2 linked regions of the Anolis sagrei genome follow. Each later gene encodes a partner of the first gene's protein in a complex. Links are inferred from orthologs where the notes say so. Each region holds a gene or a part of one and is shown in the gene's direction. Other genes may lie near its edges. The genes, in order: LZTS1 and ASB7.

What was found.
Region 2: the proteins of LZTS1 (region 1) and ASB7 are in contact, whole or in part, in a crystal structure (PDB 8Y1U), measured with the Homo sapiens proteins. The link is inferred for Anolis sagrei from reciprocal best matches to the Homo sapiens genes LZTS1 and ASB7. Residues at the interface, in NP_001349813.1 of Homo sapiens: Arg346, Glu348, Leu349, Leu352, Met353, Glu355, Gln356, Leu358, Leu359, Glu360, Lys362, Leu363, Arg364, Ser365, Tyr366; in NP_937886.1 of Homo sapiens: Asn46, Trp48, Ala56, Ile79, Phe82, Tyr87, Met90, His91, Asp116, Trp118, Val123, His126, Tyr127, Ser147, Lys149, Thr151, Gln155, Leu156, Ile159, Arg160, Phe182, Arg185, Tyr186, Ile189, Lys190, Arg210, Leu220, Leu223.

What each region holds. Positions count from the first base shown.
Region 1 is NC_090027.1:14,588,865-14,596,410, forward strand, and holds the start of LZTS1 (leucine zipper putative tumor suppressor 1), read left to right. Parts: upstream 1-4,450; 5' UTR 4,451-4,567; intron 4,568-7,546. UniProt on the Homo sapiens protein: Involved in the regulation of cell growth. May stabilize the active CDC2-cyclin B1 complex and thereby contribute to the regulation of the cell cycle and the prevention of uncontrolled cell proliferation. May act as a tumor suppressor.
Region 2 is NC_090029.1:13,385,704-13,393,570, reverse strand, and holds the start of ASB7 (ankyrin repeat and SOCS box protein 7), read left to right. Parts: upstream 1-4,642; 5' UTR 4,643-4,791; intron 4,792-7,867. UniProt on the Homo sapiens protein: Probable substrate-recognition component of a SCF-like ECS (Elongin-Cullin-SOCS-box protein) E3 ubiquitin-protein ligase complex which mediates the ubiquitination and subsequent proteasomal degradation of target proteins.

The sequences.
Region 1 (7,546 bases):
CTCAGCACTTTCCTCCAGCACCACAGCTCAAAAGCATCTCTCTTCCTTCGCTCAGCCTTCCCTAAGGTCCAGCTCTCACATCCGTAGGTGACTACAGGGAATACCATGGCTTTGACTAGGCGGATCTTTGTTGCCAGTCTGATGTCTCTACTCTTTACTATTTTATCGAGACTGGACATTGCTCTCCTCCCAAGAAGTAAGCGTCTTCTGATTTCCTGGCCACAGTCTGCATCTGCAGTAATCTTTGCACCTAGAAATACAAAGTCTGTCACGGCCTCGACGGTTTCTCCCTCTATTTTCCAGTTGTCAATCATTCTTGTTGCCATAATCTTGGTTTTTTTGACGTTTAGCTGCAACCCGGCTTTTGCGCTTTCTTCTTTCACCTTGATTAGAAGGCTCCTCAGCTCCTCCTCGCTTTCGGCCATCAGAGTGGTGTCATCTGCATATCTGAGGTTGTTAATGTTTCTTCCAGCAATTTTCACCCCAGCTTTGCATTCATCAAGCCCCGCACATCGCATGATGTGTTCTGCATACAAGTTAAAAAGGTTGGGTGAGAGTATGCAGCCTTGCCGTACGCCTTTCCCAATCTTGAACCAGTCTGTTGTTCCGTGGTCAGTTCTTACTGTTGCTTCTTGGTCCTTGTACAGATTCCTCAGGAGAGAGACAAGGTGGCTTGGGATGCCCATCCCACTAAGAACTTGCCACAATTTATTATGATCCACACAGTCAAAGGCTTTAGAATAGTCAATGAAGCAGAAGTAGATGTTTTTCTGAAACTCCCTGCTTTTCTCCATTATCCAGCGGATATTGGCAATCTGGTCTCTCGTTCCTCTACCTTTTCTAAACCCAGCTTGAACATCTGGCAACTCTCGCTCCATGTATTGCTGGAGTCTTCCTTGCAGGATCTTGAGCATTACCTTACTGGCATGAGAAATAAGGGCCACTGTACGGAAGTTTGAGCAGTCTTTCGCATTTCCCTTTTTTGGTATTGATATCGAGCTCTTTTGGGGGGCCCTCCCAGGAAGGGAGATCCCTAAAGACCGCTAATGGGGTCTTTGACCTCGGTGAGCAGCCAGCGAAAGCCAATCCAAAGCGCAAAATATTAAGAATTAATCCCACCAGAGGCTGAAGAGGTATCCAGTGACCGAAGCGTTTATTTCTGCGATTCAGCTGAAAAGGATGCGATTGTAGTGATAGTTCACATACAAGCATACATTCATAGAAGTTACAGGCATTTTTATATTGTCAGAACAAAGGAAAAACAGTTTGAAAATCCCGTCCACCCTCTGCTGGTTGGCTTCGCCCTGATTGGCTGGCCCCCGAACAGCTGGGAGGAGGCTCGGCTGCACGTCCCGCCTCTTGACCAACCAGCGGGCGCTGCTGCCTCCAGGGGGCCAATCGGAGCCTTCCTAGCGCCTCCGGAGATGGTCCAATCAGAGGCCAGGAGGCGGGATGAAGTTTGACAGCTTAGGGGAGGCGGGACGCCCCGGAGGCGTCCCCCAGCTGATTTCCGAGCCTTTGTGTTTGTCAAGGGGTGGCAGACAGAGGGGACAAAGGGCTTCCTGGTTTTGTTGATGAGATTTGGAGGAAATATGAAAAGGGGCTGATGATGGTATTTGGATCTCAAAACTCTGTAAACAGGGGAGCCCTGTAAACAAAGGAGCTGCACAAATACCAAAGGTTGAGTTAATCATCCTTTTACCGGAGTTTCTGTTGACTTATCTCTCAGCCCATTGTCTGAACTCTGAAAATGAGCCCTGAGATAAGACCAACTGCGGCCATGCAGATGCAAATATGGATTTACCTTTGAGGAAATAGGATTTCCTCTTGACAGTAACCTCAGGTCACATTCCTTTTTGGGGCAAGGTTCAGAGGGGAAAAAAGGTGGGGAAGAGGGTCAGGGTACATTTCATATGATTGATTTCTATTTTATACATCTCATCATGCTTCATATCCTTTATACATTCCATAAATGAATCCCCTTCCCCAACCCAGCAAAGTTTATTAAAGACAACAATAATAAATGTATTTCATTCTTGTTGGAATCATAGTCTCCTTGGTGAAGGCGCATGTAGGCTAGAGGCTGCTTGTCCCTCCAAGCTAGCCTGGTCTGAGGTTTGTGTCCAAAAGTGTGGCTGAAAACAGTCCGGGATGTGGAGCAGAAAGTCAATAGGAGAGGGCAGGCAAGAGAGTTCAAAGGGGGGGGCTTCTGGGTTGCAATCTGTGAAGCAGTGTCCTTTGGGAAACTACATTTCCCTGATCAGGGGCCAGGGTCCAGTACACAAGCCAGAGAATTCACAGAGAGGAAACAGGAACCCAGTTATGTGTGCTGGGTCAGGAAGCAACAGAATCCATTGTCCGGCCCTTGACGAACTACAAATACTTGGGGGGAAAGATGCTCCGCATCAGTATGGGGATATAAGTTGATTTTTTCCAGTCTGATGGCCATTCTTGTGTTTTCCATATTTGCTGGCAAATGGCATGCATCACCTTGACAGCATCATCTTTTAAGATTTTAAGATTTTAGTGGGTAGATAGAGATTATTATTAGCAGCAACAGCACCATCACCACAGTGAAACCTTCTCCAGTGAAAGCTATGATGATGTTGGCCTAAGGCATTGTGCCACCTGAAGCAAAAAATCAAGATGGTGCCACTTCCTATTCTATGCAAAACCCAACTGGCTTGTGTATGAGAGGCATTTGTCTGAGAGAGCCCTCAGTGTGCGAAGACCTCAGTGTGAGGTAGGCCTCAAGTGTGTGAGAGGCCTGGAGTAAGAAGGCTTCGGTGAGAGAAGCCCCAGATTGAAGGCCTCATGTGTAAAGCTCCAGTGTGGAGGATGCTGTGTGTGAAAGGCTACAGTGTGATGCTCCTGTTTAAGTTTAGTATGAGAGGAAGCTCAGTGAGAGCGAAGCTGTTTATCTTAATGAGAAAGAAGCCCAGCATGGAAGCAAAGAAGGAAGTGTAAAGAACTTTATTTGTGTTATGGAAATTGTGTTCTTGTAAATAGTGCAACCATACTTTTTTGCTATAAAAAAGCCTTCTAAGGAAGAGACAACATTGGTCTATGTGTTTGTTTGTTTTTGATCACTTTGGGCTCACACTGCTAATAAGTTACTCTGCCATACATTGATAAGGAGGGTCTTTGGTTAATAAGCCCACTTGCCCAACATGAACCACTACAGAACCCCTTCTCACAATGAGGGCTCTCTCAGACTAACACCTCTCATACACTGAAGTGAACTAACACTGAGGCCTTCTCATACTAAAGCATGTTGACAAAAGAAGACAGAGTTTGAATGGAGAGAAAATCTTCTCCCAGCCTTGGATATTTGCTGTATCTCTGAATAGGGGTACCAGGTGTCCCTTCTTATAAAGCAGGCATGGGCAAACTTGGGCCCTCCGGGTGTTTTGGACTTCAACTCCCATAATTCCTAACAACCTACCGGTTTGCTTTTTAGCCTAATGCAGTCATGGGCAAACTTGGGCCCTCTGGATGTTTTGGACTTCCACAATTCCTAACAGCCTACCGATTTGCTTTTTATCCTAATGCAGTCATGGGCCAACTTAGGCCCTCCGGGTGTTTTGGATTTCAACTCCCACAATTCCTAACAGCCTATTGGTTTGCTTTTTAGCCTAATGCAGTCATGGGCAAACTTGGGCCCTCGGGTGTTTTGGACTTCAACCCCCACAATTCCTAACAGCCTACTGGCTGTTAGGAATTGTGGGAGTTGAAATCCAAAACACCCGGAGGCTGCCAATGGGGCTATTCTGCCGACCTGGCAACCCCCAGGCTGAGCAAACCAGCGCTTCCGGCGGGCGCTCAGCTGGCTTCTCCAATCAACAATCAAACTTGGGCCCTCGGGTGTTTTGGACTTCAACCCCCACAATTCCTAACAGCCTACTGGCTGTTAGGAATTGTGGGAGTTGAAATCCAAAACACCCGGAGGGCCCAAGTTGCCCCATACCTGATATAAAAGCACATTTCCACCTAGAGATGTGCATGGCTTTTGACTCATCTCTGCCTGCACCAGGGCAGAGAGAGTTAGGGCTGGGGTTCTCCCTCCTTGAACCCCCAGGTCCCCCTTCTTTCCTGGCTGCCAATGGGGCTATTCTGCCGACCTGGCAACCCCCAGGCTGAGCAAACCAGCGCTTCCGGCGGGCGCTCGGCTGGCTTCTCCAATCAACACCTTGCTCCCCTCTTTCCTTCCCTCCGTTTTTCCCCAGTAACAGCCACCGACAAATGTGGAAGGACGGGGGCGGGAGAGTTTGGCAGCGAGAAGCCTCAGAGCCCCCTCCTCAATCCCTCCCTCCCTCCTCCCTCCCGACACGTGCCGGCTCTTGGGACACCCATTGATGCCTCCCTTGCACCCTTGCCTCCCCGGCGCACAAAGCCCGCCCCCTCCTCCTTTGCCCAAACTTTGTCCAATTAGCGCCCGGTATGCAAATACACGCCCCGCCCCCTTTGCCTCCCAGTTCCTTCTCTCCCCCTCTTGACTCCAGTCAGTCTCCCCAATTGAGGGGAAAAGAGGCAGAGGAGGCGATCTCAGCTAAAGCATCATCTCCAGGTAAGAGGGAGGGAGGGAGGGAGGGAGGGAGGGAGGGAGGGAAGGAAGGAAGGAAGGAAGGAAGGAAGGAAGGAAGGAAGGAAGGAAGGAAGGAAGGAAGGAAGGAAGGAAGGAAGGAAGGAAGGAAGGAAGGAAGGAAGGAAGGAAGGAAGGAAGGAAGGAAGGAAGGAAGGAAGGAAGGGGTCTTTGGGACCTGGGGAGGCATCTCTAGGGGCTCTTCCCGCTCTTTTCCCCCTTCCGTCCCCTTCAGACGCAAGACCCGCGCGTGCCATGTCAACACAGAGGCGAGCCGGACAAGCGCAGCCCCTCTCTTCCTCCCCCCCCCCCCTCAGACAGTAATGTCGTCAGCGTCCCAGCGCGCGCCACAGAGAGAGAGAGAGAGAGACCCCCGGGCTGTGCGCGCGCCCTCTTGGGTTTCCAGCCGCCAAGTTGATTGCATTCTTGGCCCGGCTTGCAGGAATGTAGCTCTAGGCAGGCAAAGAAGAAAGATTCCAGGGTCCAGAGTGGAAGGGTTTCGGGATGGGATGTCTCTCAAGGCATACCTGGACCCCTGGTAATCAGGTCCAAACACATATCCAATTTTCTGCGGTGACGTAATGGGGAAAAAATATGATAGCGGGGACTCAATGCCCGCGGTAGTATGATAGCTGGGTCCGGAAGCTCCGAGCGTTATGGAGATGCCGCAAAGGTGGCTGTGAATAAGGAAAGAGAAGGGGCAGAGGCAGGCCTGTAGCGAGGGGGTTCACCCCCCCGAAATGTTTCAGATTTTTTTAAAAAAACCTGGTTTACTCATGAATTTTAACTGGTTAACCAAATCCCCATGCTAAGTCTATCAGATGCAAAAAATTAAGAGTCCCTCCAGAACTGCAAGCACTATCTCAGGCAAATATTGACAATTTATTCACACTGTCATTACTTGCAGCAATAGCCGATGTAGTGAAGCAACCAAATTGGGGGGAGGGGGTGTTGAATGCTCTCATTAAGGAGGCCAGACTTGGTGGAGGTGGATGACAGGGACGGGTACTCTGCCCCCTGCTGTGCTCTTTGCTTCAGCGTGAGCTAGGAGGCAGATTTCAACCCCTCCCCTGTGAAATTTTCAAACCCCCCCCCCCCCAAATTTCAACCCCTCACGAAATCTTTTTCTGGCTACGGCCCTGGGCAGAGGGAGAGCAAGGAGAGCGAAGGAAGGATAGAAAGGAGGGGACGCTTAGGGTCAGGGTTACGGCTAGGCTTAGGGTTTGGGTTTGAGTTAGGCTTACAGTTAGGGTAAGGGCAGAGGCGGCCCTAGGTAATTTTCAACGGTAAGCAAACTATTTTGCCCCCCCCCCCCCAACCAATCACTGATATATATTTTCTGTTTGTCGTGGGGGTTCTGTGTGCCATATTTGGTTCAGTTCCATCATTGGTGGAGTTCAGAATGCTCTTTGATTGTAGGTGAACTATACATCCCAGTAACTACAACTCACATATGTCAGGGTCTATTTTCCCCCAAGAGTGCCTCAAGAGCACCCCTGGGCAAAATCAACTATACTGCGAATGCTTACTTTGCATAATTGGTTGAGCCACCCCTGACTGTACCTTAACTGTAACCCTAATCCAAAACCTAAAACCTTGCCCTAACCCTTACCCTAAGCATCCCCTCCTTTCTATCCTCCCTTCACTCTCCCCACACTCACTCCGCCCCCTCTCTTCCCTTATTCACAGCCACCTTTGCGGCATCTCCATAATGCCTGGAGATTCCGGACCCAGCTATTATACTATCACTGAAGAAAGGCTCCTGGGTCCAGAGTGAAAGGGTTGGGGATGGGATGTCTCAAGGCATACCTGGTCTCCTGGTAATCAGGTCCAAACACATCTCCAAGGAGCTGCGGTGACGTAATGGGGCAAAAGTATGATAGCTGGGACCCAATGCCGGTGATAGTATGATAGCCCGGTCCGGAAGCTCCAAGCATTAAGGAGATGCCACTGGAGTGGTGCCTATTGATCTATACACATTTGCATGTTTTTGAACTGCTAGGTTGGCAGGAGCTGGGCTAACAGTGGGAGCTCACGCCAGTCTGTGAATTCAAACCTCCAACCTTTCAGAGTTCAGCAGCTCAGCGGCTTAACCCACTGTACCACCAGGGAGCCCAGCTCTTGCTATAACAACAACAACAACAACTTTATTCTTCTACCCCACCACCATCTCCCCCAAAGGAACTTGGGATGGCTTACATATGGGACAGAAAGTCCACCATACATACATACATACATAAAAGCAATAATCCACTAAAACAAAAGCACCAATAAAATAAAATAAAAACATCATAAATAAACAATCCGTATAAAACACAATTGCACATTAGAGAAAAACAGCAGCATTGAGGACTGAAGTCCATCCTAATGTTTAAGTGGAACCTCTTTTCCTATCCTTTGAACCCAGTCTCCAGAACAGCTGAGAACAAGCTCACCCCCTCCACCATCCTTTCAGAAATGTAAACATGGCCCTGGTGTTTCCTTCTCTCAGCCTTCTTTTCTCCAAGCTAAACTGACCCAGTGGGTTGTTGTAGGTTTTTTCGGGCTATATGGCCATGTTCTAGAGGCATTTCTCCTGACGTTTCGCCTGCATCTATAGCAAGCATTCTCAGAGGTAGTGAGGTCTGTTGGAACTAGGAAAAGGGGTTTATATGTCTAAGGAATGACCAGGGTGAGACAAAGGACTCTTGTCTGCTGGAGCTAGGTGTGAATGTTTCAACAGACCCAGCTCCCTCACTTTTGGTTGCACTCCTCAGAACGTGTTGTAGCTTGTCCACGTCCTTGAATTGCTATGCACAGAAATGGGCACAGTGTTATTCCAGATGAGGTCTGATCAAAGCAGAAGAGAACAGGGCGATGACTTCTCCTGAACTCCGCACTAGGTGCACATTGATGCAACCTAGAATTGCATTGGCTTTCTTAGCTGCCGCATCACACTTTACCTTTCGGTATAGTACCATACAT
Region 2 (7,867 bases), on another chromosome or scaffold:
GGTCTACTAGTCTATATAAATAATATAATGATTGTACATTATATATTACATGTAATATTGCCAATAATATTGCTGTCCAGTGGTATAGTACAATATAGTAATCTATCATACTAATATTGTGCCATGGCAATAATATGATATATTGTATATACATATAATATGGGTAATAATATTACAATGAAATACTTTATAATACTAACAATAATACAATATAATAATATAAAATAATATAGTAATATAGAATAATATTGTAACATAATAATACTAAAATGTTAAATACTTTACTTACTTAAGCGATTTCTCGTTGGTCTTCCATGATCAGTATTCTGGTGGATCCGTAGGTGACTGTGGAGCTCTATTCTTGACCCGCATCTTCTCCCTCAGTGAGGGCATTGGTTTCCAGGTGGAAGGCGGTCTCGGTCAGGGTTGGCTTGACGCGCCTTCCTCTTGGCACGTTTCTCCATTTCACCCTCCATTCGTACCTCTTCAAATTCTGCAGCACTGCTGGTCACAGCTGACCTCCAGCTGGATCGCTCAAGGGCCAGGGCTCCCCAGTTCTCAGTGTCTATGCCAGAGATTTTAAGGTTGGCTTTGAGCCCATCTTTAAATCTCTTTTCCTGTCCACCAACATTCAGTTTTCTGCTCTTGAGTTCGGAGTAGAGCAACTGCTTTGGGAGACAGTGGTCGGGCATCTGGACAATGTGGCCGATCCAGCGGAGTTGATGGCGGAGGACCATCGCTTCAATGCTGATGCTTCTTCCAGCATGCTGACGTTTGTCCGCCTGTCTTCCCAAGAGATTTGCAGGATTTTCTGGAGGCAGCGCTGATGGAATCGTTCCAGGAGTTGCATGTGATGTCTGTAGACAGTCCACGTTTCGCAGGCATATAGCAGGGTTGGGAGGGGAATAGCTTAATAAACAAGCACCTTGGTCTCCCTACGGATGTTCCGGTCCTCAAACACTCTCTGCTTCATTCGGAAAAATGCTGCACTTGCAGAGCTCAGGCAGTGATGTATTTCGGTGTCGATGTTGACTTTGGTGGAGAGGTGGCTGCCAAGGTAGTGGAAATGGTCAACATTTTCTAATGCTACACCATTAAGCTGTATCTCTGGCATTGGAGAGGGATTGGCTGGTGACTGCTGGAAGACCACTTTGAGCACTTTGGTCTGTAGACAGTTCATGTTTCGCAGGCATATAGCAGGATTGGAAGGACAATAGCTTTAAAGACAAGCACCTTGGTCTCCCTAAGGATGTCCCGGTCCTCAAACACTCTCTGCTTCATTCGGAAAAATGCTGCACTCGCAGAGCTCAGGCGGTGTTGTATTTCAGTGTCGATATTGACTTTGGTGGAGAGGTGGCTGCTAAGGTAGCGGAAATGGTCATATTTAATCGTCAATTAAATATAATACTATGAATAATATATAATATATAATGACAATACTGCTTTTTATTATTGTACATGTTAATGTATTGTCGAAGGCTTTCATGGCTGGAATCACTCAGTTCTTGTGGGTTTTTTCGGGCTATATAGAACATGGCCATATAGCCCGAAAAAACCCACAAGAACTGAGTGTACATTTTAAGTTGTCATGTTTTTGATTGTGAGCCGATTTGAGTCCTCGTAAGGAGAGAGAAAGTGGGATAGAAATCAATCAATCAATTAATAAAATAATAATAATAATACCTGCGTGACCGCATCTCTGTATATGAGCCCACACGATCCCTCCATTCATCTGGAGAGGCCCTACTCACGATCCCACCTGCGTCACAAGCGTTTTTGGTGGGGACGAGGGACAGGGCCTTCTCTGTGGTAGCCCCTCCCCCCGACTCTGGAACTCTCTCCCCAAGGACATCAGACATGCCCCAACGTTGGCAGTCTTTAGGAAGAGCTTGAAGACCTGGCTGTTCAGTGTGCCTTTCCAGAATAGGAAACTCCCAGCATCATGTCCCGGACGCACTTTACTAGAGATTTAAGATTGCCTGCACATTGCACCTACTCTAAAATCCTTATATTTCACCTGTCATGTCCAGCACTTCTTAATTTTATTCATTACATTTGGCTCGGCCCTAGTTTTAAATGTGTCATGATGTATTGTTTTAATGTTTTACTCTTATTGCTTTAATGTTTTATTGGTTTGCTTTATGAGTTTTATTGTTGTATTTGTTATGTTGTTGTTTTATTGAGGGCCTTGGCCTTAGTAAGCCGCACTGAGTCCTTCGGGAGATGTTAGCGGGGTACAAATAAAGTTAATAATAATAATAATAATAATAATAATAATAAATCATTCCCGACACCAAGAGTTTTTGCTTGTTTGCATGCTGGTTGCACGATCATCTATGCTGATGATCGTGCCATTACTGCTCAACCAGGGAGCTTTGAGACGGTAAAACAGAAGCTCTCCGAAACTCTAGGTGCTCTTACTGCCTATTATAGGGAAAACCAGCTGATCCCTAACCCATCTAAAACACAGACATGTGGCTTTCATCTCAAGAACAGACAAGCATCCCAAGCTCTGAGGATGGCCTGGGAAGGAATCCCACTGGAGCATTGCAGCACACCCAAATACCTGGGGGTCACTCTGGACCGTGCTCTGACCTACAAGAAGCACTGCCTGAACATCAAGCAAAAAGTGGGTGCCAGAAACAATATTATACGAAAGCTGACTGGCACAACCTGGGGATCACAACCAGATACAGTGTAGACATCTGCCCTTGCGCTATGCTACTCTGCTGCTGAGTATGCATGCCCAGTGTGGAACACATCTCACCACGTTAAAACAGTAGATGTGGCTCTTAATGAGACATGCCACATCACCACGGGGTGTCTGCGCCCTACACCACTGGAGAAATTACACTGTCTAGCTGGTATTGCACCACCTGACATCCGCCAGGAAGTAGCAGCCAATAGTGAAAGGACCAAGGCAGAGACATCTCCAGCTCATCCCCTGTTTGGGTATCAGCCAGCACGTCAACGACTTAAATCTAGAAATAGTTTTCTAAGATCTACAGAGACACTCGCTGGAACACCTCAGCAAGCGAGAGTCCAAAAGTGGCAGGCTCAAACCCAGTACGTCAACCAATGGCTGATACCAAATGAGAGACTTCCCCCTGGGCACACAGAAGACTGGGCGACTTGGAAGGCGCTCTGGCACCACGAGATGCAGAGCCAACCTTCAGAAATGGGGCTACAAAGTGGAATCCTCGACATGCGAGTGAGGAGAAGAGCAAACCACTGACCCCCTGCTGCAATGCAACCTGAGCCCAGCCACATGCACAATGGAGGACCTCCTTGTGGCAACACCAGAGGCACTCCAAGTGGCCAGATACTTGTCAAAGGACATTTAATCAACTACCAAAGTCACAAGTTTTGTATTTAGGTTCTTGTGGGTTTTTTCGAGCTATAGGGCCATGTTCTAGAGGCATTTCTTCGGGAGAGGCCCTTCTCTCCATCCCGCCTGCTTCACAGGTGCGGTTGGCGGGAACGAGAGATAGGGCCTTTTCTGTGGTGGCCCCTCGGCTTTGGAATGCCCTCCCTATAGAGATAAGATCAGCCTCTTCGCTGATGGTATTTCGTAAAAAACTGAAAACATGGATGTTTGAGCAAGCATTCGGTTAACCCGATGCAAGGAAATTCTTGACCTAGGACCGGCAATTACTGACAATGAAATAGGATCATGATTAAATTAAGAGACGCATTGGTCTGTATTGGTGGCCCAATACTGTGAAGTGTATATGTATATGTTTTATATTTTTAATTGGAATATTGTTGTTTTAATGTTGTTGTAAACCGCAATGAGTCGCCGTTTTAGGCTGAGATATTAGCGGTATACAAGCGTACTAAATAAATAAATAAATTTCTCCTGACGTTTCGCCTGCATCTATGGCAAGCATCCTCAGAGGTAGTGAGGTCTGTTGGAATTAGGACAATGGGTTTATATATCTGTGGAATGGCTGGGGTGGGGCAAAGAGCTTTTCTCTGCTGGAGCTAGGTGTGAATGTTTCAACTGACCGCCTTCATTAGCATTTGAAGGCCTGCCTGAGCCTGGGAAAATCTCTTGATGGGAGGTGTTAATCTGTGCCTGGTTGTTTCCTCTCTGTTGTTTTGCTGTTGTAATTTTAGAGTTTTTTTAATACTGGTAGCCAGATTTTGTTCATTTTCATGGTCTCTTCCTTTCTGTTGAAATTGTCCACATGCTTGTGGATTTCAATGGCTTCTCTGTGTAGTCTGACATGGTGGTTGTTGGTGTGGTCCAGCATTTCTGTGTTCTCAAATAATATGGCTGACTTATCTGGTTGAAGTAGTCTGCAGTTTTGTATTTGTCTGTTTGTTTGCTTTGTTCTGTTAGAAATGTAATATAATGGACTGGTTGCTCTGACAGGACAAATAAATAAATAAATAAAAACCAAGAGTTTTTGAAAGTGGTGTCGCTTTGATGCCGGAAATGTGCAGAAACGTGTTGCTGTAAGATTTGTCACCCTCTTAGAGGTTGTGAAGGAGCAGAAAGGAGGAAAAAAAGTGGTCGAGGCGTTTGGGACGCTGGCGCCGTCCAATGGCGTGACGGCGCGAGGCGGGAGGCGGGCGCGGATTGGCTGGGAGAGGAGGTCAGGCCCTGCCCGGTGACCCCGGGCGAAAAGAGAGACAGGAAGGAAGCAGAAGGAAGGAGGTAGCAGCAGCAGCGGCGGCGTCTTCTCCTTCTTCTCCTCGCCTTCTCCAGCCAGGCGTCTCCTCCCGGGTCCCTTCTCTGCCTTCTGAATGAGGAAGAGGTGCCGGGAGAGGGAGGCTGACTGACAGGTAACGGCCGGCGCGGGGGCGGGACTTGGCGGCCCCTCGACCAATCCAGGGAGGAAAAGGCCCCCGACCCGGGCCTCCCGGGCCTCTTCCTTGGTGGTCGCGCACGCCGCCCCCGTGATGCCATTCGATGCCAGGAGTGGGGTCGCCTCTCACGGGATGCCAGGGTGCCTCCCACTTGACCAAGCTGTAGGGTGGGGATTGTTGTGATTATGACCATTATGGCCCCTTCCACACAGCTGAATAGAACCCACATAATTCTGCTTTGAACTGGGTTATATGGAAGTTGGGACTGAGGGCCCTTCCACACAGCCCTCTATCCCAGAATATCAAGGTGGAATATCCCCCATTATCTGAATGTGGGCTCTGATAACCCAGTTCAAAGCAGATATGGTGGGATTGTATGACTTGATATTCTGGGATAGAAGGGCCCTCAGATAACCCTTCCACACAGCCATATAACTCAGGACATCTAGGCAGATCATCCACAATAGCTGGTTTGAACTGGGTTATCTGAGTCCACACTGCCATATAACCCAGTTCAATGTGGATTTTATACAGCTGCGTGGAAGGGTTCTAGGGCCCTTCCACACAGCCCTCTATCCCAGAATATCAAGGCGGAAAATCCCACGTTATCATAGAATCCCACGAACTGGGTTATATGGCAGTGTGGACTCTTATAACCCAGTTCAAAGCAGATATGGTGGGATTCTATGCCTTGATATCCTGGGATGGAAGGGCCCTCAGATAACCCAGGCCCCTTCCACACAGCCGTATAACTCAGGACATCTAGGCAGATCATCCACAATAGCTTCTTTGAACTGGGTTATCTGAGTCCACACTGCCATATAACCCAGTTCAATGTGGATTTTATACATCTGTGTGGAAGGGTTCTAGGGCCCCTCCACACAGCTCTATATCCCAGAATATCAAGGCCCTCAGATAACCCAGGCCTCTTCCACACAACCGTATAACTCAGGACATCAAGGCAGATCATCCACAATAGCTACTTTGAACTGGGTTATCTGAGTCCACACTGCCATATAACCCAGTTCAATGTGGATTTTATACATCTGTGTGGAAGGGTTCTAGGGCCCTTCCACACAGCTCTATATACCAGAATATCAAGGCCCTCAGATAACCCAGGCCCTTTCCACACAGCTATATAACTCAAGACATCCACAATAGCTGGTTTGAACTGGGTTATCTGAGTCCACACTGTCATATAACCCAGTTCAGTGTGGATTTTATACAGCTGCGTGGAAGGGTTCTAAGGCCCTTCCACACAGCCCTGTATCCCAGAATATCAAGTCAGAAAATCCCACATTATCAGAGTGTGGACTCTGATATCCCAGTTCAAAGCAGATATTGTGGGATTGTATGCCTTTATATTCTGGGATAGAAGGGCCCTCAGATAACCCAGGCTACTTCCACACAGCTATATAACTCAGGACATCAAGGCAGATCATCCACCATAGCTGGTTTGAATTGGGTTATTTGAGTCCACACTGCCATATAACCCAGTTCAGTGTGGATTTTATACAGCTGTGTGGAAGGGTTCTAGGGCCCTTCCACGCAACTCTATATCCCAGAATATCAAGGCAGAAAATCCCACATTATCAGAGTGTGGACTCTTATAACCCAGTTCAAAGCAGACATTGTAGGATTGTATGCCTTGATATTCTGGGATAGAAGGGCCCTCAGATAATCTGGCCCCTTCCACACAGCTATATAACTCAGGACATCAAGACAGATCATCCACAATATATTGTCAAAGGCTTTCATTGCCGGAATCAACTGGGTTGTAGGTTTTTTCGGGCTATATGGCCATGGTTCCGGCCCAGCTTATCTATCCGAACGCATCTCTTCCTACGAGCCCTCCAGGAAGTTAAGATCATCTGAGGAGGCCCTGCTCTCGATCCCGTCTGCTTCGCAAGCACGCTTGGCGGGGACGAGGGACAGGGCCTTTTCTGTGGTGGCCCCTCGGCTATGGAACTCCCTGCCTAGGGATATTAGATCAGCCCCCTCCCTCCTGACTTTTCGGAAGAAAGTAAAAACCTGGCTCTTCGAGGAAGCCTTCGGAACCTCGGAATAGATAGTCAAACTTGAGATGGAGAATGACCCAGGAACAGCCAAGACGATGAAATGGATGAGGATTGGAATGAGAGGATATAGCTCTTTTTAAATTGTTATTGCACTGTCTTTTTTGTCTAAATGCACTTAATTGTTTTTGCTGTTGTATTGTATTGATGGCATCGAATTGTGCCGATATGTAGTCGCCTGCGGGCTGAGTCACCTGCGGGCTGATATGGGCAGGATATAAGTGATGTAAATAAATAATAAATAAATGGTCTAGAGGCATTCTCTCCTGACCTTTCGCCTGCATTTATGGCCAGCATCCTCAGAGGTAGTGAGGTCTGTTGGAACGAGGAAAAAGGGTTTATATATCTGTGGAATGACCAGGGTGGGACAAAGAACTCTTGTCTGCTGGAGCTAGGTGTGAATGTTTCAACTGACCACCTTGATTAGCATATAATGGCCTGACAGTGCCTAGAGCAAACCTTTTCTGAGAGGTGATTAGATGTCCTTGTTTGTTTCCTCTCTGTTGTTGTGCTATTGTAATTTTAGAGTTTTTTAATACTGGTAGCCAGATTTTGTTCATTTTCATGGTTTCCTCCTTTCTGTTGAAATTATTATTATTATTAAACTTTATTTGTACCCCGCTAGCATCTCCCGAAGGACTCGATGCGGCTTACAAAGACCAAGGCCTCAACAACAACAACAGACAATAACAATATAATACAAGCAAATTAAAAACATAAGCAATAACAACAACAAAACATTACACTATTACACAATAAAACCAGGGCCGGGCAAATAAAGGGTACAGGTTAAAAGTGCTGGGTGTAAGAGGTGATATGTTGGGATTCTGGGTAAGTGCAATGTGCAGAGAGTCTTAAGCTCTAATAAAGTGTTTCTGGGATGTAGTGCTGGAGGTTATCCTATTCCAGAAAGGCACATCGGAATAGCCAGGTCTTCATGCTTATGGATTTCAATGGCTTCTCTATGTAGTCTGACA